3 linked regions of the Anolis sagrei genome follow. The protein of the gene in region 1 binds, or shares a complex with, the protein of each later gene. Links are inferred from orthologs where the notes say so. Each region holds a gene or a part of one and is shown on either strand. Other genes may lie near its edges.

Region 1 (7,927 bases):
ATTGTCCGTAGACACCTGTGGCTGGCATGACTACATGGAGCGCCGTTACCTTCCTGCAGAAGCGGTACCTATTGATCTACTCACATTTGCATGTTTTCGAACTGCTAGGTTGGCAGAAGCTGGGGCTAACAGCAGGAGCTCACTTCGCTCCCTGGATTTGAACTGCCAACCTTTTGGTCAGCAAGTTCAGCAGCTCAGTGGTTTAATCCGCTGCGCCACCGGGGCTCTATGGAAGTGTAGACTCATATAGTCCAATAGAAAGCATATAATGTGGATTATCTGCTTTGATAATATGGATTATATGGCAGTGTAGAAGGCCCCTGAGTCTACACTGCCATATAATCCTGTTTAAAGCAGATAATCTGGATTTTATATGGTAGTGTAGGAGGGGCTAGGGAGGGAGGGGAAAAAAAGCAGGAACCTGATTCTCCATTTTCCAAAAATATAAATTCCAGCACCTTATGTGAAATTCAGACTCCTTTATCAATGGAAAATAAGGTCTGATGAATTATATAGCATAGATTATGTTTTTTTAAGTAAATAAAAGCTTAATTAAGTAGCTTTACCTAGCAAAGGGAATATACTGTGAAATGTAAAATTCCAGTTTCAGATAGTATAAATTGATCCTTCTATATGTCTCCTTTTAGTAGCTGTTTTGCAAAGCAACTACTTTCCCTAACTACTAGGACAGGTTCCAGTAGTGATAACATTTTAAAAATTGCTAAGAAAATCCAGATTTAGTTCTCCTGTTTTGGCAGAACAAAAAACAGACCTTTAGCCACTCATTCCCACATTTAAAGAGTTCTAGAAGGCAAAGCTTCCTTTCACATAAAGGGGCACTCTTTCAGAGAGAAACACTCCTTCATAAAAACAGGCAAACCAACCTCAGGGTGAGCTCTGCATTTCTCCAAGGCATCTCCATAGATTTTACTAGGACTGGAAGAAGAGAACAACTCTTTAAAAATCACATAGAATAAACCACCTGAAACAGAGGGGAAATAAAATGTAAATGACACAAGAATTTGTGTACTTAAATGGCCAAAACTTAAAACATTTGTAAGTTGGGAAAATGTTTTCATCCAGTTTCAACAACCTGTGACACCAATCCCGACTACCACCACTATCAAGTAGGTGAAATCTCTTCCAGCTTCTTTCACTAGAAGAAAAAAAAGAAAAGTTATACAATATCAGGTAACACAGCATGCTCCTAGTGGTTTCCTCTAATTTGGTAAAGATATGAAAGTAGCAGCTTTTGTTTCAAAAACAATGGAAATTACTTTACATGTCTCAGCAACCTCAAAAAGTGTGAAGTTGGCCTATTCCTTCTCATCTGAGGCCCTTCCAGATAGGTAATATACCCCAGTATCTGATCCAAGGTTTTCTGTTTATCCCAGATTATCTAGCAGTTGGGACTCATATAATCTGGGGCCCTTCCATACAGGCACTATATACCAAGATTTGATCCCAGGATTTCTCTTTTAAACTGGATTATATGAGTCCACACTGCCAAATAATCTGGGATAAACAGAAAACCTGGGATCAGATCCTGGGATATAGAGCGTGTCTGGATGGTCCCTAAGGGTACATCTACACTGTCGAATCAATGCAGAATGGCATCACTTTAACTGTCATGGCTTAATGCTATGGAATCATGGCAACTAGATCTTTCACCTTCTCTGTCCAAGAGTGTTAATGCCTCATCAAACTATAACTTCCCATTGAGCTATGGCACTTAAAGTGGGCTCAAACTGCATTAATGCTACAGTGAAGTGCATTAATTCTATAGTGTGTAAAGACAGACTAAGGCCCCTTCCACACAGCTGTATAAAATCCACATTGAACTGGATTATATGGTAGTGTGGACTCAGCTAATCCAGTTCAAGGCAGATATTGTGGATTATCTGCCTTGATATTCTGTGTTATATGACTGTGTGGAAGGACTCTAAGTGTCAGAATATTTTTGCACTCTGTCAAGTAGTTTTAAACTGTACAAAGTGCAGTTGTGCGGCTTTTTGATGTCAGTTGTATGGAGGTCATACTTTATATGCTTTCTTTGTGTACCACATTAAAAACCTATTTTGGCTGACAGGCATTCAGACCATAACTTTGGACAGCATATCTGTAAATTCACCTCCTTCCACTGTGGAATTAATGCCGTTTTGGTACCACTTTAATTGCTGTGGCTCGATACAATGGTATAATAATTGTAGTTTGATGAGGATCCAGCATGCTTGGGGGAGAGAAGGCAAAAGTCCTTGCAAAACTACATCTTGCAGGATACCACAGCTCAATTGACAGCAAAGGTGCACCTGTACTATAGAATTAATGCGGTTTGGCACCACATTAAGTACCATGGCTTAATCTATGGAATTTGGGGACTCGTAGTTTGATAAGTAGATAAGTTTGATAGTAGAGGTAAAGATGAAGTATTTTGGCCACATCATGAGAAGAAAGGAAAGCTTAGAGAATTCAATTATGCTGGGGAATATGGAAGGAAAAAGGAAGAGGGGCTGAACAAGGGCAAGATGTATGGGTGGGATCCTTGAAGTGACTGGCTTGACCTTGAAGGAGCTGGGGGTGGTAACGGCCGACAGGGAGCTCTGGCGTGGGTTGGTCCATGAGGTCACGAAGAGTCGGAAACGACTGAATGAACAACAAAAGTTTGATAAGGCCCTAGCCTTTTCTGCCAAAGCATGGTGTGTCACCATACTGCAACTCCCTAGATTCCATAGCATTGAGCCCTGGCAGTTAAAGTGGCACTAAAGTGCATTAATTCTGCAGTGCAGATGCACTCCTTGGAAGGGGATGCACCAAAGTTATGGCACGATGCACCCCATTCATATCAACTGAAAGCAATACTCAGGTTTATTTCCAGGTAAGAGGACAGAAGCATTTCAGCCTTCATTGCCTAACTTTGGTTGACAGCCATAGGCATCTCTTACCTTTCTGAGCAGCTGAGAGAGAGGTCCCTCCTTTCTGGCTTCTTTGCACAGGGACCTGGGAGCTGTTTTGGCCTTTCCCAGCCCTCAAGGCCCCTGCTGGCGTCCACACCTTTCGTGGTAGCCCCCCAGAGGCTACTCTAGGGTGCAAAATATACTCCCCTGGGCTTGCCCCGAGCCTGAAGCACCCCAAAGTCCTTTCACGCGCTTTCCTATGCTGCAAGTGCAACCACTTCCCCAGCACCTTGTCATTGCAGTGCATTCCCCGCAGAAAGGAGGAAAAGACTGCGAAGGGGGGCATGGCTGCCTTGAATAAATATTACCCTTAGATGACACCCAAACTCCTCTCCCCTCCGATGCCAAAGATTGAAAACATTGTCCCGGACTTAACGAGAGAAAGAGGGGTTATATTTCCTGCTGCACTTTGATCAAAAGTAAAAGCAGCTTTTGCAATCTACCCCGCCATTGTGTTTCTTTGCAAGCGTTTCTGGGACATGTAGTTTGCTGGACACACCGATTTGTTGATTGGGTAGCCTCTTAAAGGGAACTACAACTACCATGATGCAAAGGGCCATCGGCTCTTCAAAAGCATTGCAAGGATTTTTCTTTCAGTCTCTCCCTGGCTAATCCTTTCCTCCAGGAAGGAAGTCTAAGCAGAGAGTGCGCCTTCTGCAGGAAAAAAACACTTCTTTTTAAGCCTAAGGATATACACAACATAACTCTTGTGTTTAATACTGAGGAAAAAGGAAGGTTCTCATGCTGTGCTGCTTATATGAGATCATTACTTGCACTTTAGGCTTTGTAAAATTTATTTAGACTTTTATTATAGCCTGCCCGCTGAATAGACAGACATCTCTGCCCCCCCCCCCGCTTTTGCCATTTTATATCTTTACTAGCCGTCCCTTGCCACGCGTTGCTGTGGCCCAGTCTGTGTATATGTGTTTTGTGTGTGTATATATTTGTGTATATGTGTATTTATGTGGTTATGCATAAATACACATGTGGTTACGCTGAATCTCCCAGTGGTGCAGTGGGTAAAACTGCTGAGCTGTTAAACTTGGTAACCGAAAGGTCGGAGGTTCAAATCCAGGGAGCGGCATGAGCTCCCGCTGTTAGCCCCAGCTTCTGCCAACATAGCAATTCGAAAACATGCAAATGTGAGTAGATCAATAGGTACCTCTCCGGCAGGAAGGTAATGGTGCTCCATTTAGTCATGCCAGCCACATCGTCTATGGACAATGCCAGCTCTTGGGCTTAGAAATAGAGATGAGCACCACCACCCCCCCCCCCCCCGAGTCGGACACAACTGGACTTAATGTCAGGGGAACAATGTGGTTATGTGCATGCATTGTAGTGTATTTTTTGGCTTTTAAAGTCTAGTTTTCATTGTTTTTATGAGTAATGGTTACTCATTGGCCTGATAGGTGTATTGTGTCCAAGTTTGGTGTCAATTTGCCCAGTGGTTTTTGAGTTATGTTAGTCCCACCAACGAACATTACATTTTTATTTATATAGATTACTTATTGAACATTTCACTAGCATGTGGCAATTGTACATTGGATGTTTACAGCATTGGTGTACTTCACACAAGGAGTCCAGCAATAACAAGGCGATGCCCACCGTGATCAATATTCTGTGTTTTAATGCTCGGATTTTATATTGCTATTCTGTTTATTTATATTGGTTTTGTATCTTATGCAATTTTCTTTTCTTTTTGTTGTTGTTGTGTTCTTGTGTTATATTGTTTTACTGTATTGTTGGGCGTGGCCTCATGTAAGCTGCCTCGAGTCCCCTTGGGGAGATGGTGGCGGGGTATAAATAAATTATTATTATTATTATTATTAAGGCAATAACAAGAAAAGGGAACAAAGGCCAACAGACATTGCTGTATTTTCAAAGAGCTATTAGTTTGTCACAATACAGGTTAAATATTATTTATTTGGAATGTTTAGGGCAATAATAATAATAATAATAATAATAATAATAGTTTATTTTTAACCTGCCCTCTCTCCCTGAAGGGACTCACAAATGTTGGAGCTTTCATATCCCCCCCCCCCCCCCCTGAATTGCGAACATCTGTATTTATATGTACACACATAATGAGATATCATGGAGATAGGATCCAAGTCTAAATACATAATGTATAGTTTCATATATACCATATACATATAGCCGGAAACATTATACACAATATTTTTAATAACTGCATGAAACAAAGTTTTTATACATTGAACCACTAGAAAGCAAAGTTGATACTATGTGGATGTTTTCAGAATCAGGAATGTTTCATATTTTGGAATAGCAAATAAAAGATACCCAACCCATAATCACAGAGAGAAAGAGAGAACTTGTGACACTCATAAGATTATTTGGTTTATTTTATGGTGTACTTTTGTGGGCTGCAGTCTGTTTCTTCAAGAGGTGGTACAATATCCAGACATACACGCAGTGGCATATTGTGGGAGTAGGAACAGGAAATACAAATACTTCATCACATGTAGGGAAAGTAAGACACATCCTATTGAAGAAAATCATCTTGACACACCTAACATCATGATGACACAATAAATAAATAAATACCTAACATCATAGAATCATAGTGCATCTAAAATAATAAAATCCCAACTGTAAGATATTAAAGATTGGTCACTTCCATGCTGTAGAATAATTCAGTCTGATACCACTTTAATTGCCGTGGTTCAGTGCCATGGACTCAGGAACTTTAGTTTTATAAGGTCTCTAGACTTCTCTTCCAGAGTATTAATAGTTCACTAAAGTACAGGTTCCAGCGTTTCATAGCACTAAGCCATTGCAGTTAATGTATAGTGTCAAACTGCATTATTTCTACAGTGTTGATGCATCTTTGGGCTTCTCTTCTCCATCCTAAACATATTAGCCCAGCAACTTTACCACCAGCTGCAGTAAATCTGGCTATTCAGAAGGTTGGCAGTTCAATGCCTGGTTCAGGGTGAGCTCCTGGCCTTCAGCCCAGCTCCTACCAACCTAGCAGATTGTAAGCAGCAATTGAGAGTAGATAAATAGATGCTGCTTTAAAAGCATGGAGGTATTTAGGTATATGTAAGTAAATGCTAGAAAAATCCTGGCAATTCAATCAAGGAGGAAGTTTATGAACAAAAGCTTTTCAGTAGGGATGATGGAGCGACAGCACCCCTCGTGGCCAGAACTGAGCACAACCTTCGAGATGCCAAAGATGGGAAATTCTATATATACCTCTATCTATGTGCAGTTGTTTTTGAACTGTGTTGTTGCAGGAAAATTCTGAGAGTGCCTTGGACCACAAGAAGATCAAACCAGTCCATACCCCAGGAAATAATACCTGAGTGCTCACTGGAGGGAAGGATATTAAAGGTAAAGATGAAGTACGTTGGCCACATAATGAGAAGACAGGAAAGCTTGGAGAAAATAATGATGCTGGGGAAAATGGAAGGAAAAAATGAAGAGGGGCAGACCAAGGGCAAGATGGTATCCTTGAAGTGACTGGTTTGTCCTTGAAGGAGCTGGGGATGGCAACAGCTGACAGGGAGCTCTGACTTGGGCTGGTCCATGAGCTCAGAAAGAGTTGGAAGTGACTGAACGGACAGCAACAAATGTACAGTTGTCTGTCTTGACATTGTATAAACTGCATTGAATGTTTGCCTTACATATATTCTGTGATCCACTCTGAGTCCCCTTTGGGGTGAGAAAGGTGGAATATATATATTCTAAATACATACATACAATTCATACATACATACATACATACATACATACAAAAACCAACTTTAGAACACTTTGCAGTTTTGTCAGAGATTTTGATATTATTGTGTAGCAAATGAATCTGGAGGGAAGATCTGAAAAAAATTGGGAGACTTTAACAAATCTCATTTTATATACAAAAGGTCTGAAGATTGTTTCTTACATTACATTTATAGTTAATTTTGACTATGGCTGTGTGTATAGCCTGTTCTTTAAAATAAGATTATGCATTAAGCAAAAAAAAAAAACTTCTGGAAAGAAAATGCTTTGACGCTAGTTACTTGCCAACCATATTGTGCACTAATAACAGATGCTGAGATATTTGTGCTAAACCAGTTTAAAGCCCTTGGAAGGTTTATGATTTATGTTCCTAATACAGTTGTTGTATCCCATTGCACTTATATCCCACTCCCACAACTATGTAACTACATATATATTTGAAGTTTGAATGTCGCATCGTGCATCTGAGGATGCAGCTGGAATTACCCTTAAGCAAATTTAATTATGTATAAACACGTAGTCTTTGAAACATTTAGCACTGACAACCCTAGCAGCTATCATTAAATTTATAAGGTCCTAACACTAGAAGTCAATTTGCTTAATAAATGTTAAGTACAGATATATATTTAAAATGTGTACCACATATCTCCCATGAAGTGTGATCCAGAATGTTTAACATCTATCTTATGTGCTTTTTTGCCCATCAGGGCTGGTCAAACACATGTTGCTGCTAGAGGCAAAGTGATAAATGATGCCAGGTTATTCTGGCTCATGCAATAAAAAAATCTTCACGTACTTTTTTAATCATCCCTGGCAGTAAAAATATAAAACAACAAATTAAAAATCTTCGTAATTCACTCACTACCTTTTTGCAACACCAGATTGCTGCTTGAGATGGCCACTCAACATGTTGTGGTGTGCTGTCATGTCATTTCTGACTCACTATAACCCCTAGGTGAATGTATCATGCGGTTGTATTATCCAGATTTGTTCAGAGGGAATTTGCTTTTGCCTTCTTTTGATGCTGAGAGTATGTGACTTCAGATTTACCCATGTTCATTGGGTGGTTTCAATTGTCCTTTTTTGGGGAGCAGCTATCCCCAAGCACCATCATCCGGAACCTGCCTGAGAGGTACGACCAGAACCAGTGCAACACAGTATCACTGATTCCCATTCCCGCCAGGCGTTCCAGAAGGGATACCATGGTTGATCGTATCGAAGACCGCTGAGAG
Region 2 (8,640 bases), on another chromosome or scaffold:
CTGATGTTCAGATGGAATCTCCTTTCTTGTAGTTTGAAGCCATCGTTCTGTGTCCTAGTCTACTAAAAGGTCTGGGGTGCTTTGATTGTGCTTTTCCTGCACGGCAGAAGGGGGTTGAATTGGATAGCCCCTGGGGTTTCTGCTACTACTACTATTAAAAAGTCTGGGTGGTCATCTGTCTGGGGTGCTTTCATTGTGCTTTTCTTGCATGGCAGAAAGGAGTTGGATTGGGTAGCTCCTGGGGTTTCTGCTATTACTACTACTACTACTACTAAAAAGTCTGGATGGTCATCTGTCTGGGGTGCTTTGATTGTGCTTTTCTTGCATGGCAGAAAGGAGTTGGATTGGGTAGCTCCCGGGGTTTCTGCTATTACTACTACTACTACTACTACTACTAAAAAGTCTGGATGGTCATCTGTCTGGGGTGCTTTGATTGTACTTTTCTTGCATGGCAGAAAGGAGTTGGATTGGGTAGCTCCTGGTGTTTCTGCTATTACTACTACTACTACTACTACTACTACTACTAAAAAGTCTGGATGGTCATCTGTCTGGGGTGCTTTGATTGTGCTTTTCCTGCATGACAGAAAGGAGTTGGATTGGGTAGCCCCTGGGGTTTCTGCTGCTGCTGCTGCTGCTGCTGCTACTACTACTACTACTAAAAAGTCTGGATGGTCATCTGTCTGGGGTGCTTTGATTGTGCTTTTCCTGCATGGCAGAAAGGAGTTGGATTGGGTAGCTCCTGGGGTTTCTGCTATTATTATTGTTGTTGTTATCATTAATAATAATAATAATAATAATTGTCCACACTCAGATAATGTGGGATTTTCTGCCTTGATATTCTGGGATAGAGGGCTGTGTGGAAGGGCCCCTAAATAATAGTGAAAGAATGGATGAGGCTTGTGGAAGGAATGTGAGCTCAGGGGCTTTGGGGCTCAGCCAAGTGCTTGGGGAGCCCGTTTGGCTGCTTCTGGTGGCAACCAGGGAATGGCACCCGGACCCCATCCTGCCAAACACATGTAGGGTGGGCACCCCGTGAATATGAAGGGGGGCAACCCCAGATGCGACTCACCAGCAGCAGCAAGAGCAGCAGCAGGCAACGTTTGGGGAGGGAGATGAAGCCCAGGTTGTGGCTGCTTCCAAAGCGCGCAGGGGAAGGCACAGGTGAGGGCGCAAAGCTCTCCATCGCGGTGCCCACCGCGTCTCCTCCCTGGAAATCCGGCCACGGAGGAGGAAGGAGATCCTGCTTCCTGGACATGCCTCCCAGGACGAGGAGGAGGAGGAGAAGGAAGCAGGAAGGGCCGCCCAGACTAGGCAGGTGCAGCCACAGGCACCCGAAAGCACTCCCCGGCTCAGGATCTGTTTTTCTTGCGCCTCTGGCGCTTATTCTTGGAAAGGTGCCTTTCCAAGACTTCAGCCAGTCCTACACCTGAAACACACCTTTCCTGCAGACTTGATGGTTTCTTTTTGAACCAGAATTCACCACCTAAGCTCTCTTCTTCCTCCCTTTGATCCCCTCCTGGCTGTGCCTATTTCTTCACCCTGAAAGGACAAAGTTGGGTGCCTCTTATCCAGGACAGGCAGAATTCATGCTTTCATTGCCATGGCTCTCTGGAAGCATGGCTTTGCAGTTTGGGGAGGCTCCAGAACTCTTTGGGAGAAGAGACTAAGTAAAACTACAGCTCCCATGATTCTATAGATCAGTGGTTCTCAACCTTCCTAATGCTGTGACCCCTTAATACAGTCCCTCATGTTGTGGTGACCCCCAACCGTAAAATTGTTTTCGTTGCTACTTCATAACAGTCATTTTACTACTGTTATAAATCATAATGCAAATATCTGATATGCAAGATGTATTTTCATTCACTGGACCAAATTTGGCACAAATACCCAATGCAACCACATGTAAATGCTACTGGGGTTGGGGGAGGATTGATTTTGTAATTTGGGAGTTGTAGTTGCTGGGATTTATAGTTCACCTATAATCAAAGAGCATTCTGAACTCCACCAGTGATGGATTTGAAGCATTCTGAACCCTACCAATGGTGGAATTGAACCAAACTTGACACACAGAACGCTCTCGACCAACAGAAAACACTGGAAGGGTTTGGTGGGTGTTGACCTTGAGTTTGGGAGTTGTAGTTCACCTATATCCAGAGAGCACTGTGGACTCACTCAATGGTGGATCTGGACCAAACTTAGCACAAATAGTCAATATGCGCAAATGTGAACACTGGTGGAGCTTGAGGAAAATAGACCTTGACTTTTGGGAGTTGTAGTTGCTGGGATTTATAGTTCATTACAATCAAAGAACATTCTGAACTCCACCAACGATAGAATTGGCTCAAACTTCCCACATGGAATCCCCATGACCACCAGAAAATACTGTGTTTTCTGATGGTCTTTGGCGACCCCTCTGACATCCCTTCGCAACCCCTTCAGGGGTCCCGACCCCCAGGCTGAGAAACACTGCTATAGATAGATCTATTTATTGAGTAGTCCACTGACCATATCAAAAATAAAAGACAAAAACAAAAGCACACAAATAGATACTAGTCACTATCTTAAAACTCCTGGCTGGCATCACTGGGTTGCTGTGAGTTTTCCAGGCTGTATGGCCATGTTCCAGAAGCATTCTCTCCTGACATTTCACCCACATCTATGGCAGGCATTCTCAGAGGTTGTGAGGTCTGTTGGAAACTAGGCAGGTGAAGTTTATATATCTGTAGAACGATGCCCAGGATGGGAGTAAGTACTATTGTCTGCTTGAGGCAAGTGTGAATGTTGAATTGGCCAGCTTGATTAACACTGAATGGCCTTGTAGCTTCAAAGCCTGGCTGGTTGCTACCTGGAGGATCCTTTGTTGGAAGATGTTACTTGGACCCAACTTCTCCCTGTCTAGAATTCCACTGGGTTTTTTTTAGTGTTGCCCTTTATTTACTGTCCTGATTGTAGAGGGCTTGTAGCCAGATTTTGTTCATTATCCTGGTTTCCTCCTTTCTGTTGACATACTTGTGGATTTCAAAATCTACACTCAGGCCCCTTCTACACTGTAATATAAAATCCAGATTAACTAATTTGAACTGGATTATATGGTAGTGAAGACTCATATAATCCAGTTCAAATGAGTTAATCTGGATTTTATATTACAGTGTAGAAGGGGTCTGAGTGTAGATTTTCCCCAGAAAGAAAATAAGACAGGTTGGCAATTGGATCCCAGTTGGCTGTTCTAGCCCCGTAAACTGTGGGAATACTGTCTGGACTGCAGTATTCTGCAGTCCAGACCTGGAAATAGTGGATTTATTGCGTGCCTTCCAAGAAGGCATGAAATAAATCCACTATCAAATTAATTCACTACAAACCAGTGCATGAAACAATGGCTTCAAGCTACAGGAAAGGAGATTCCATCTAAACATTAGGAAGAACTTCCTGACTGTGAGAGCTGTTCAGCAGTGGAACTCTCTGCCCCAGAGTGTTGTGGAGGCTCCTTCTTTGGAGGCTTTTAAACAGAGGCTGGATGGCCATCTGTCAGGGGTGCTTTGAATGTGATTTTCCTGCTTCTTGGCAGGGGGTTAGATGGCCCATGAGGTTTCTTCCAAGTCAATCATTCTATGATTCAATGATAAGCATTCAACCTAATCCAACATGGCTCTTTCTCAAAAAATATTATATAAAGTAGTGAGGAACAGCAATGAACAACAACAATGTAGAACAATGGTTCTCAACTTTCCTAATGCTGCGACCCCTTAGTACAGTTCCTGATGTTGTGGTGACCCCAACCATAACATTGTTTTCGTTGCTACTTCATAACTGTAATTTTGCTACCGTTGTGAATTGTAATGTAAATATCTGATATGCAGGATGTAGTTTTATTCACTGGCCCAAATTTGGCACAAACACCCAATGCTCCCAAATTTGACTACTGGGGGGTTGATTTTGTCATTTGGGAGTTATAGTTGCTGGCGTTTATAGTTAACTTACAATCAAAGAGCATTCTGAACCCCACCAATGATGGAATTGAACCAAACTTGGCACACAGATCTCTCACGATCAACAGAAAATACTTGAAGGGTTTGGTGGGCATTGACCTTGAGTTTGGGACTTGTAGTTCACCTCCATCCAAAGAGCACTGTGGACTCAAACAATGATGGATCTGGACCAAACTTGGCATGAATACTCAATATGCCCAAATGTGAGCACTGGTGGAATTTGGGGAAAATAGACATTCGGGAGTTGTCGTTGCTGGGATTTATAGTTCACCTACAATCAAAGAGTATTCTGAACCCCACCAATGATGGAACTGAACCAAACTTGGCACACAGATCTCTCATGATCAACAGAAAATACTTGAAGGGTTTAGTGGGCATTGACCTTGAGTTTGGGAGTTGTAGTTCACCTACATCGAGGGACAACTGTGGACTGAAACAATGATAGATTTGGACCAAACGTCTCGAATACTCAATATGCCCAAATGTGAGCACTGGTGGAGTCTGGCGAAAATAGACATTTGGGAGTTGTAGTTGCTAGGATTTATAATTCACCTACTATCAAAGAACATTCTGAACCCCACCAATGATGGAACTGAACCAAACTTGGCACACAGATCTCTCACGATCAACAGAAAATACTTGAAGGGTTTGGTGGGCATTGACCTTGAGTTTGGGAATTGTAGTTCACCTACATCCAGAGAGCACTGTGGACTCAAACAATGATGGATCTGGACCAAACTTGGCACGAATACTCAATATGCCCAAATGTGAACACTGGTTGAGTCTGGGGAAAATAGACATTTGGGAGTTGTAGTTGCTGGGATTTATAGTTTACCTACAATCACAGAACATTCTGAACTCCACCGATGATAGAATTGGGTCAAACTTCCCACACAGAACCCCCATGACCAACAGAAAATACAGTGTTTTCTTATGCTCTTTGGCGACCCCCCAGGCTGAGAAACACTGACGTAGAAGATGTTGGCCAAATGAGGAAGTGAATCTGTTCAGCTGACAGTGAAGCATGGGTTGTTCCCCTTTGCGGCCACGAGGGGGCGTTGCAGGGAGGTGCTTACATCCAAACTCTTCCTGTCCCGGAAGCGGAAAGAAGGCTCCTGTGGAGTCGTGCGGGCTCTTTGCAGAAGCTTCTTCTTGCGTGGATGGCGCGCCTGCCTCGCACCCTCCTGGTCTTCGGGGGCTTCGTGGGCCTGGTGGGGGCGGCCCTGTACCCCATCTACTTCCGGCCCCTGATGCACCTGGAGGACTACAGTAAGTCCTCTCCTCCCCCTGAACTGATCCTGCCTTAGGCAAAGCTCCCCTAGGATGCTCCAGAGCCCTCTGCTTTGGACGCCCCCTCCCAGGAGCCTCAGCCAGCCTGGATGATGGGAGCTGCAGTCCAAAACATCAGGAAGGTCAAGGCTTAGGAAACACTAAGCCAGCCCAGCTTCCAGGCTTCAGGCCCACAAAGGAAGGAAGGGCCAATGTGCATGCCCATGTGATCAGCAATGTCATCCTGTGGGAATTAGGTAAAGGTTTTCCTCTGACATGAAGTCCAGTCGTGTCCAACTCTGGGGGTTGCTGCTCATCTCGAAGAGCCGGCGTTGTCTGTAGACACCCCCAAGGTCATGTGGCTGGCATGACTGCATGGAGTGCCATAACCTTCCCGTTGGAGCAATACCTATTGATCTACTCACATTTACACGTTTTCAAACTGCTAGGTTGGCAAAAGCTGGGGCTAACAGCAGGAGGTCATGCCACTCCCCAGATTTGAACCTGCGATCTTTCGGTCAGCCATATAGTGTTTGGGTGTAGTAAAATGTGAATTAGTAGAACCCTATACGGTTCCAGCCCAGTTTACTTATCCCAACATATCCTCCCCTATAATAAATAATAATAAACTTTATTTATACCCCGCCACCATCTCCCCGATTGGGACTCAGAGCGGCTTACATGAGGCCAGGCCCGAACAACAATTACAATAAAGAAAACCCAAGACACAACCGAAAATGCGAACAATAAACAGTAACATCATAATTACATAAAATATGTGGATACATAACAATATAAAAAATTACAATAGACACAGGCACAGTGACAATGGGTGGGCTACATGTAACGATTAAAAGACAAACTGATTAAAACTAATTAAAAACTAAGACAAGAACCATCAAGGCTGTTAAGATGTCCTGGAGGGGCCCTGCTCTCGGTCCCACCACCCTCGCAATCGCGTCTGTTGGAGACAAGAGACAGGGCCTTTTCTGTGGTGGCCCCCTAGCTATGGAACTCTCTCCTGATTGAGATCAGATCTGTCCCCTCCCTCCTGACCTTCAGGAGGCTAGTGAAATCCTGGCTATGGAACGAGGCATTCTCAGAATGATGGCGGAGACTGGCAATTGATTAAAGTTATCGACCACATATGCAGACTGAGTGGGACGTGATTTTATCTTGCCGAACTGTCTTTTATGTATTTTAGTCTATATGTATTTTAATTTATTGTACAATGTTTTAGATTGTATTGTTAGCATTCAATCCTTGCTATTAGCCAGTCTGAGTCCCTCTATGGAGGTAGAGAAGATCGGGATACACAAGTTTTAAATAATAATAATAACAACAACAACAACAACAATAATAATAGAAGCTCAGCTATAATGCGTACTGCCGATCTGAAAAGATACCATCAAATTTAAGACAGTCAATGAACAATACTGGGGTTCTTACATATACTAATCCTTCCTTCATATAAAGGATATCTTACCAACTCGGCCACCTATGATTTTGAAGAGAATTATCATGACAACATTAGGACTAATAATCAAAATTATTTTAGTATAGAATATTTTTTAAAAAAGAAAATGACATAGAAAGTGGTTGGCCCATTGGAACTGAAGGTACCCATCTTCATTGCAGAAGATATAGAGCAGTGGTTCCCAACCTTTGGTCTTTCGGGTGTTTTGGACTTCCAACTCCCAGAAATCCCACACATGGAGCACAGTTACCTTCCCACCGGAGCGGTACCTATTGATCTACTAACATTTGCATGCTTTTGAACTGTTAGGTTGGCAGAAGCTGGGGCTGATAGTGGGAGCTCACCCCGCTCCCTGAATTTGAACCTGCGACCTTTCGATCAGCAAGTTCAGCAGCTCAGCGGTTTAACCCACTGTGCCACCGGACCACTGTAAAATAAGATGGAAGTCGCCCATCTGTGAATGGTTAACATGTGAAAGGGGAAAGGGTGTAACCCAGGCATGGGCAAACTTGGCCCCTCCTGGTGTTTTGGACTTCAATTCCCACAATTCCTCAGATAATCCAGATCGAAGCAGATATTGTGGCATTTTCTGCCTTGATATTCTGAGTGGAAGGGCCCCTAGTGTCCTGGTTCCCAACATGAGGCACACACCCCACAGGCGGGCAATTTGAGAATGAGTTCTTACCAGTGAGTATTTTGCATTTCTTATGGTTCTAGCAGGCCTCATACACAGTATATCAATATATATTGTGCCATACAAATTTTAAAAACTAAAATCAAAATGTACACAGTGGTCAACAGGTGGCAGTGGAGAGGGGGAAGACTCTCTGATATAGAGCATGGAGTTCACTAGCGAGTGCATGAACACAGAAAAGTGAAATAACTTCCATTCCAAACACGCCACTCATCTTACTGACCTTCCAGACAGGCCTATACCCCAAGATCTGATCCCAGGTTTTCTACTTTAAACTGGATTATACGAGTCCCCACTGCCAGATAATGTGGGATAAACAGAAAACCTGGGATCAGCTCCTGGAATATAGGGCCTGTCTGGGGGGGGGGGGGGGGGCATAGGCTGGATTTACACTGTTCTATATTCCAGGATCTGATCACAGATTATTTTCTTATCCCAGATTATCTGGTATTGTAAACTCATATAATCCAGTTCATTGCAGACAATCTGGAATCGGATCCTGGGATATAGTGTAGTGTAGACTCAGCCTCAGTGTTCTTTTAACATTGCAAGCTATACAAAATATATCAAAATATATTTTTGTTCAGCATTTGAATATAGCAAGAAATCTGAAAAAAAAGTCCAAAACACAACGATTACTTTCATATATAAGTCAATGTTTTGTATGAGTAATAATAAAAAATATAATCAGCTGCAAGAAAATTAATGTCAGTTGACAGGATATTCCCGCATAGTCTCACCAAATACTGTACATGAAGTTGGACACTTATATTACCCTGAATTCGATGCAGATGACTCAAATCAATTGTGCCTCGAATATGACTACTGCCCATGTGATAGTTGTTCTATTTTATTACTTAACTTTATCAAGCACAAATTGTATTCATTAGCAAAAACTGGCATTGTCAGGTTTGAGCATAGCAATCTCACATTTTTCATTCCCATGATTTTTCCTGATATCTTCCTGGCTACTTAGAATACTTGGTTTTTGTTTTTGAAAAAGAGCCTTTTTTAATAGATAATGAGCATAGAAAGAGCATGCATTGAGACAGCATTAACTGTCAAAAAATGACATTGACCGTATTGTCAGAAAACCTACAAGCTGAAATTTTAGACCTAGCTTCACTCTCTGTGGCTCTTTCTACACTGCTTTATAATCCAGATTATCAAAGCAGATAATCTGGATTTTATATGGCAGTGTAGAAGTTGGCTTT
Region 3 (7,669 bases), on another chromosome or scaffold:
GGTGCCTCTCTATTCTGCTTTGATCAGATCCCACCTGGTATAATAATGGGTCTTAATCTGGGCACTGCAATTCAAGGAGGATATTGACAAGCTGGGAGGTGTCCAAAGAAGGGGGGGCTAAAATGATCAAAGGTCTGGAGACCAGGAATCCCTATGAGGAACGTCTTAAAGAACTGGGTCTGTTTAGCCTGCAGAAGAGAAGGTTGAGAAGAAACATGATTGCCATGTATAAATATGTGAAAGGGTGTCATAAGGAAGAGGGAACAGGCTTGCTTTCTGATGCCTTTGAAACTCTTCAAATTCTACCTAAACATTAGGAAGAATTAGGTGCTTTGAATGCAATTTTCCTGCTTCTGGATGGCCTATGTGGTCTCTTCCAATTCTATGATTCTATAAGAACTTCCTGACTGTAAGACACTGGTTCTCAACCTGTGGGTCCCCAGGTGTTTTGACCTATAATTCCCAGAAATACCAGCCAGTTTACCAGCTGTTGGGATTTCTGGGAGTTGGAGGCCAAAACATCTGGGGGGACACAGGTTGAGAACCACTGCTGTATGAGCTGTTTAGCAGTGGTACTCTCTGCCTTGGAGTGTGGTGGAAGCTCCTTCCTTGGAAACTTTTAAACAGAGGCTGGATGACCATCTGTCAGGGGTACTTTGATGCTGCTTTTCCAGCGTGGCAGGGGATTGGCCTAGAATACTAGATGGTCAATGTGGTCTCTTCCAACTCTATTATTCTATGATTCTAAGAGTTCCCCTGGTGGCGCAGGGGGTTAAACTGCTGAACTTGCTGACCAAAAGGTTGCTGGTTCAAATCCAGGGAGCGGGGTGAGCTCCCACTGTTAGGCTCAGCTTCTGCCAACCTAGTAGTTTGAAAACATGCAAATGTGAGTAGCTCAATAGGTACCACTCCGAGGGGAAGATAAGGGCGCTCCGTGCAGTCATGCCGGCCACATGACCTTGGAAGTGTCTATGGACGACGCCGGCTCTTCGGCTTAGAAATGGAGATGAGCACCACCACACACAGTTGGACTCAACTGAACTTAATGTGTGAGTCTACACTGCCAGATAATCTGGGATCAGATCCTAGGACATAGGGCTGTTTAGATCCAGCCTGAGTCTACGTCCTCAAATCTTATGAACTTTATTCTTGTTCAGTCTCTAAGGTGCTACAAGATTCCTATTGCAAGTACTAATTAAGTATAATATATATTTCATCAAATTTTGAGTGGATTTTCAAGCATCAGTTTCTTTACAAAGTAAGGAATCGGGTAGTTTTGTATAAACAAAGTTTTAGCTTCTGTGACGGCTAGGTTCAACAGTTACTACCTACCAGAATTTTCGATTTGCAGACTGCTCAGAATATATTCTTGACCTAGATCATTAGTTATATAGTTATGTATTTGTATACAATTCTCTATTTTGGTGCTCACTGTACATTTTATAATATGCTGTCGAAGGCTTTCATGGCTGGAATCACTGGATTGCTGTGAGTTTTCGGGTCTGTGTGGCTATGTTCCGGAGGCATTCTCTCCTGACATTTCACCCACATCTATGGCTAGCATCCTCACAGGTGAGGAGCCCCCAGTGGCGCAGTGGGTTAAACCCCTGTGCCGGCAGGACTGAAGACCGACAGGTCGCAGGTTCGAATCCGGGGAGAGGCGGATGATCTCCCTCTATCAGCTCCAGCTCCTCATGCAGGGAGATGAGAGAAGCCTCCCACAAGGATGATAAAAACATTCAATCATCCAGGCGTCCCCTGGGCAACGTCCTTGCAGACGGCCAATTCTCTCACACCAGAAGCGAGCTGGGTTTAGAAAAGCCAGAGGAACGAGAGACCAGATTGCCAATATCCACTGGATAATGGAGAAAGGCAGGGAGTTTCAGAAAAACATCTATTTCTGCTTCATTGACTATTCTAAAGCCTTTGACTGTATGGATCATAATAAATTGTGGCAAGTTCCTGGTGGGATGGGCATCCCAAGCCACCTTGTCTCTCTCCTGAGGAATCTGTACAAGGACCAAGTAGCAACAGTAAGAACTGACCACGGAACAACAGACTGGTTCAAGATTGGGAAAGGCGTACGGCAAGGCTGCATACTCTCACCCAACCTTTTTAACTTGTATGCAGAACACATCATGCGATGCGCGGGGCTTGAGGAATGCAAAGCTGGGGTGAAAATTGCTGGAAGAAACATTAACAACCTCAGATATGCAGATGACACCACTCTGATGGCCGAAAGCGAGGAGGAGCTGAGGAGCCTTCTAATCAAGGTGAAAGAAGAAAGCGCAAAAGCTGGGTTGCAGCTAAACATCAAAAAAACCAAGATTATGGCAAAAAGAATGATTGACAACTGGAAAATATAGGGAGAAAATGTGGAGGCCGTGACAAACTTTGTATTTCTAGGCGCAAAGATTACTGCAGATGCAGACTGTGGCCAGGAAATCAGAAGACGCTTACTTCTTGGGAGGAGAGCAATGTCCAGTCTCGATAAAATCGTAAAGAGTAGAGACATCACACTGGCAACAAAGATCCGCCTAGTCAAAGCCATGGTATTCCCTGTAGTAACCTATGGATGTGAGAGCTGGACCATAGGGAAGGCTGAGCAAAGGAAGATAGATGCTTTTGAACTGTGGTATTGGAGGAATGTCCTGAGAGTGCCTTGGACTGCGAGAAGACCCAACCAGTCCATCCTCCAGGAAATAAAGCCCGACTGCTCATTGGAGGGAAGGATACTAGAGACAAAGTTGAAGTACTTTGGCCACATCATGAGGAGACAGCAAAGCCTAGAGAAGACAATTATGCTGGGGAAAGTGGAAGGCAAAAGGAAGAGGGGCCGGCCAAGGGCAAGATGGATGGATGGCATCCTTGAAGTGACTGGACTGACCTTGAAGGAGCTGGGGGTGGTGACAGCCGACAGGGAGCTCTGGCGTGGGCTGGTCCATGAGGTCACGAAGAGTCGGAGATGACTGAACGAATGAACAACAACAAGAAGCGAGTCGCTCCTGACACGACAAAAAAAAATGTCTGGGAAAACCTTTACTTTTAGATTTCTTTACTTTTCAGTTTCTAGTGAAGCATAGTGAATAGTAAGGGATTGTGGGAGTTGTAGGGCAGCTTCCAACTCTATGATTCTACAGTGGAAATGTATCCTGAAACTCTCCTATAAGATGACTCGCCAGGAAAGTCAATAACGCTTAGTGAGGTAGAAAGAAAAAGAAGAAAGCAACTACAGGTGGGTCGGCTCAATCCTCTTTTGTGAGGTTTGTTTCCTTTCGTATTGGTAGAGAAAGATGTCTCCCTCTCAAGGGCAGCCAAAAAAGGCCTCTGATTCAGTTCCCTCCCCGAGAAAGTCAGAAGGCCCTTGTCCAGGGCGAGCAACCCAGCCCAACTCCTTTTCATGGTAATGATAAAGCAAGAAAGGCCTCCTCCTCCTCCCCCTCCAAACCCCAGCCCAAGTCCAGTTACCAGGGTTCCCGGGCATATTCCTCCATCGCTCCCAGGCGAAAGTAGCGCCGGTCACGTGAAAGGAGGAACTAGAAAGACCCGGATCACCCAACCGCCTCCGATTGGCTGCCGGTCAGCGCGTGAGGCGGGGACAAACTTCTCCGCGTGGAAGCGCCGCCAACAGGTTGGTCGTCACCATAGAGATAGGAATACAAGACTACAGTACAGTTAGGTCAAGACTGTGCCTACCACTTTAAATCCTGCTGTCTCCTCCTTCAGCATTCTGGGGTTTGTAGTTTAGGAAGGCCCAGGATTTCTCCAGTTGAGGATGTCAAAGTCTCCTCCCCAACTACAAATCTCAGAATTCTGGATTAGTATTGTCGAAGGCTTTCATGGCCAGAATCACTGGGTTGTTGTAGGTTTTTTCGGGCTTTGTCCCACCCTGGTCATTCCACAGATATATAAACCCACTTTCCTAGTTCCAACAGACCACATTACCTCTGAGGATGCTTGCCATAGATGCAGGAGAAAATGCCTCCAGAACAGTGGTTCTCAACCTGGGGTCCCCAGATGTTTTGGGCCTACAACTCCCAGAAATCCCAGCCAGTTTGCCAGCTATTAGGAATTCTGGGAGTTGTAGGCCAAAAACATCTGGGGACCCCAGGTTGAGAACCACTGCTCTAGAACATGGCCATATAGCCCGAAAAAAATCTACAACAACCCATTCTGCATTAGGTGTAAAGTGGTACACACACCCTCTACCAAAGTGTTATGTGAGGAGTGTGACAACAGAAAAGGATGGTAAATTGCATTGGAAATTCCGGGTTCTGTTTTTGTAGGGCAAATGTGGAATCTCTTGTTGTTGTTCATTCGTTCAGTCACTTCCGACTCTTCGTGACCTCATGGACCAGCCCACACCAGAGCTCCCTGTCGGCCGTCACCACCCCCAGCTCCTTCAAAGTCAATCCAGTCACTTCAAGGATGCCATCCATCCATCTTGCCTTTGGTCGGCCCCTCTTCCTTTTTCCTTCTCCAAGCTTTCCTGTCTCCTCATGATGTGGCCAAAATACTTCATCTTTGCCTCTACTATCCTTCCCTCAAAATGAGCAGTCGGGCTTTCTTTCCTGAAGTATGGACTGGTTGGATCTTCTCGCAGTCCAAGGCACTCTCAGAACTTTCCTCCAACAACACAGTTCAAAAGCATCGATCTTCCTTCGCTCAGCCTTCCCTATGGTCCAGCTCTCACATCCGTAGGTGACTACGGGGAATATAATTGCTTTAACTATTCGGATCTTTGTTGCCAGTGTGATGTCTCTACTCTTCACTATTTTATCGAGATTGGTCATTGCTCTCCTCCCAAGAAGTAAGTGTCTCTTGATTTCCTGGCCACAGTCTGCATCTGCAGTGATCTTTGCATCTAGAAATACAAAATCTGTCACTGCCTCCACGTTTCCTCCTTCTATTTGCCAGTTATCAGCCTGAATCTTGGTGTTTTTTTTTAATGTTTAACTGCAACCCAGTTTTTGCGCTTTCTTCTTTCACCTTGATTAGAAGGCTCCTCAGCTCTTCCTCGCTTTCAGTCATCAAAGTGGTGTCATCTGCATATCTAAGGTTGTTAATGTTTCTTCCAGCAATTTTCACCCCAGCCTTGCAGTCCTCAAGCCCCGCACATCGCATGATGTGTTCTGCATACAAGTTGAATAGGTTGGGGGAGAGTATTCAACCCTGCCATACACCTTTCCCAATCTTGAACCAGTCTGTTGTGCCATGGTCAGTTCTGACTGTTACTACTTGGTCCTCATACAGATTCCTCAGGAGAGAGACAAGGCGATTTGGTATGCCCATCCCACCAAGAACTTGCCACAATTTATTATGATCCACACAGCCAAAGGCTTTAGAATAGCCAATAAAGCAGAAATAGATGTTTTTCTGAAACTCCCTGCCTTTCTCCATTATCCAGCGGATACTGGCAATCTAGTCTCTCGTTCCTCTGCCTTTCCTAAACCCAGCTTGTACATCTGGCCACTCTCGCTCCATGTATTGCTAGAGTCCTCCTTGCAGGATCTTGAGCATTATCTTACTGGCATGGGAAATAAGGGCCACTGTACGGAAGTTTGAGCAATCTTTCGCATTTCCCTTTTTTGGTATGGGGATATAGGTTGATTTTTTCCAGTCTGATGGCCATTCTTGTGTTTTCCATATTTGCTGACAATTTCCTTATATCTCTAGAGAAATAATCCAACCAACCAATGAGGCCTGTCGTTTCTGTTTGAGGGCATCTCGTTAAGAAAAGAAGATTGTCTTTGATAGGCTAAGAGGGACTTAAGGGGCGGGTTGACGTGAAAGGCTTTCCCTCGCATTGGTGCATTGCCCGTTTACCTGACGATCAATAATATAAGGAGGGAAAAAATAGATGCCGAATTCCGATAGGCTGCGGTGGTGTCACGTGCAGAGGGGGAAAGGAAGCTTAAGCTCTTACGGACGGCGGCTTTGTCGGGTCAAAAAGCTTTTAATATTGGAAACGGTTGTGTTGAGTGGACTTGTGTTTGATTGGCTCCGACGAAAAGACTGAAAGCAGGGAATCAGGTATGAGCTTCTTCAAACAGAATGTTTGTGTTGTTTTTACCTTTGTATTTATGAAGAGGGGGCACCCAATGATGCTCAGCTAAAGCTTTGAAGAATAGAGTGCATCTACACTGCAGAATTAATGCAGTTTGACACCAGCTTGCTATGGAATCCTGGGATTTAAATTTTTTATAATCTGCTTCGCCTTCTCTGCCAAAAGACCAAACTGCAGCTCCAAGATTCCATAACATTGAGCCATAGCAGTTTAAAGTGGTGTCAAACTGGATTAAATCTACAGTGTAGATGCACCCACATTCAGACATTACTGTACTGAGGAACCAGTGGAGTTCTCCTTCTCTGTAATCCAAATTATCCAAAATGTGTCACATGGGTTTGCTGATGCTCCAAGGTACATTGTTTCAGGCACAACATTGTTAAAATACTGTATAGATTTACCTCCAGTCAAGGGCAGCTTCAATAAGCAGAAGGGATGTATTTTGAAGAGGAACAATCTGCCGTATAATCCAGATTATCAACGCAGATGATAATTCATATTATCTCCTTTGAACTGGATTATATTTGTATTTACTGTTATTGAGGTATTGAATGTTTGTTTTTTTATTTGTTGGAATTTGCCCTAAGTCTCCCAGGAGAGAGAGGGTGGAATATAATTCAAGTTTTTTATTATTATTATTAGTAGCCATCCCCTGTGGCCCAGTCTGTATGTATTTTGTGTATGTATATGTGTGGTTGCATATGTGTGTGTGTGTGTGTGTGTGTGTGTATGTGTGTGTGTGTGTATGTGTGTGCATATATATATATATATATATATATATATATATATGGGTTTGCGCATGCATTGTAATGTAATTTTTATTTTTTGGCTTTTTAAATCCCTTCTGCTGTGTTTTTCAGTATTTTTATGAGTGATGGTCACTTGTTGGCCTGATAGGTTTATTGTGTCCAAATTTGGTGTCAATTCGTCCAGTGGTTTTTGAGTTATGTTAATCCCACAAACAAACATTATATTTTTATTTATATAGATGATGATGATTATTTTTATTATTATTATGATGCTGCCATATAATCCAATTCACAGCAGATAATCTGGATTTTATATGGCAGTGTAGAAGGGGCCTGGGTTTTAGGTTATAGTTTGATAGTAAATCTGCTGGAGAAGAGGAATGAGTTTAATGGTTCAACTGAAAACGAGTGAGTCAGTCCAGTTAAACCCAGTTGCAATGGATTGCTCCTCCTACTATCCCAGAATGAACTTTCACAGTACTGACAGTTTCCAAGTTACAAATAAGGTAGGTTCTGTAGGTTTGTTCTTAGGTTGAATTTATTTGTAAGTTGGAACAGGTACATTTTTTCATTGTAACTCCAGCCATCCAAATATGTGTGTATAAGGGGGGGGGAGCGCTTTTGACAGCACAGGGAAGGGTTAACACTCCTGTGGTGTTTGTTTTGCTGTCTGTGCCCCAGTTCAGAAGATTTTGTTGCACTTTTTGTCCTTGTGATGATAGGATTTGGAAAAAAATGGCTTGTTGTGGAAACAAGGATTGGTGGGAAAGCTTCAATGGAGATCTCTTTTCCTCAGGATAACTCTTCCAGGGGTGAATTTCCCTTCTGAGGGGTAGATTTCTCTCTTTCTATT

The links.
Region 2: TIMM21 (region 1) and SMIM20 share a complex: the UniProt entries of both Homo sapiens proteins name them as parts of the MITRAC (mitochondrial translation regulation assembly intermediate of cytochrome c oxidase complex) complex. The link is inferred for Anolis sagrei from reciprocal best matches to the Homo sapiens genes TIMM21 and SMIM20.
Region 3: TIMM21 (region 1) and TIMM17B share a complex: the UniProt entries of both Homo sapiens proteins name them as parts of the TIM23 complex. The link is inferred for Anolis sagrei from reciprocal best matches to the Homo sapiens genes TIMM21 and TIMM17B.

Annotation. Positions count from the first base shown.
Region 1 is NC_090024.1:72,469,918-72,477,844, reverse strand, and holds the start of TIMM21 (mitochondrial import inner membrane translocase subunit Tim21), read right to left. Parts: upstream 3,451-7,927; 5' UTR 3,241-3,450; coding exon 2,943-3,240; intron 1,157-2,942; coding exon 1,094-1,156; intron 983-1,093; coding exon 885-982; intron 1-884. UniProt on the Homo sapiens protein: Participates in the translocation of transit peptide-containing proteins across the mitochondrial inner membrane.
Region 2 is NC_090025.1:112,997,817-113,006,456, forward strand, and holds the start of SMIM20 (small integral membrane protein 20), read left to right. Parts: upstream 1-5,064; 5' UTR 5,065-5,146; coding exon 5,147-5,255; intron 5,256-8,640. Other genes in the region: SEL1L3 (protein sel-1 homolog 3), read right to left, coding at 1,070-1,255.
Region 3 is NC_090022.1:178,483,063-178,490,731, forward strand, and holds the start of TIMM17B (mitochondrial import inner membrane translocase subunit Tim17-B), read right to left. Parts: upstream 3,577-7,669; 5' UTR 3,495-3,576; coding exon 3,469-3,494; intron 1-3,468. UniProt on the Homo sapiens protein: Essential component of the TIM23 complex, a complex that mediates the translocation of transit peptide-containing proteins across the mitochondrial inner membrane.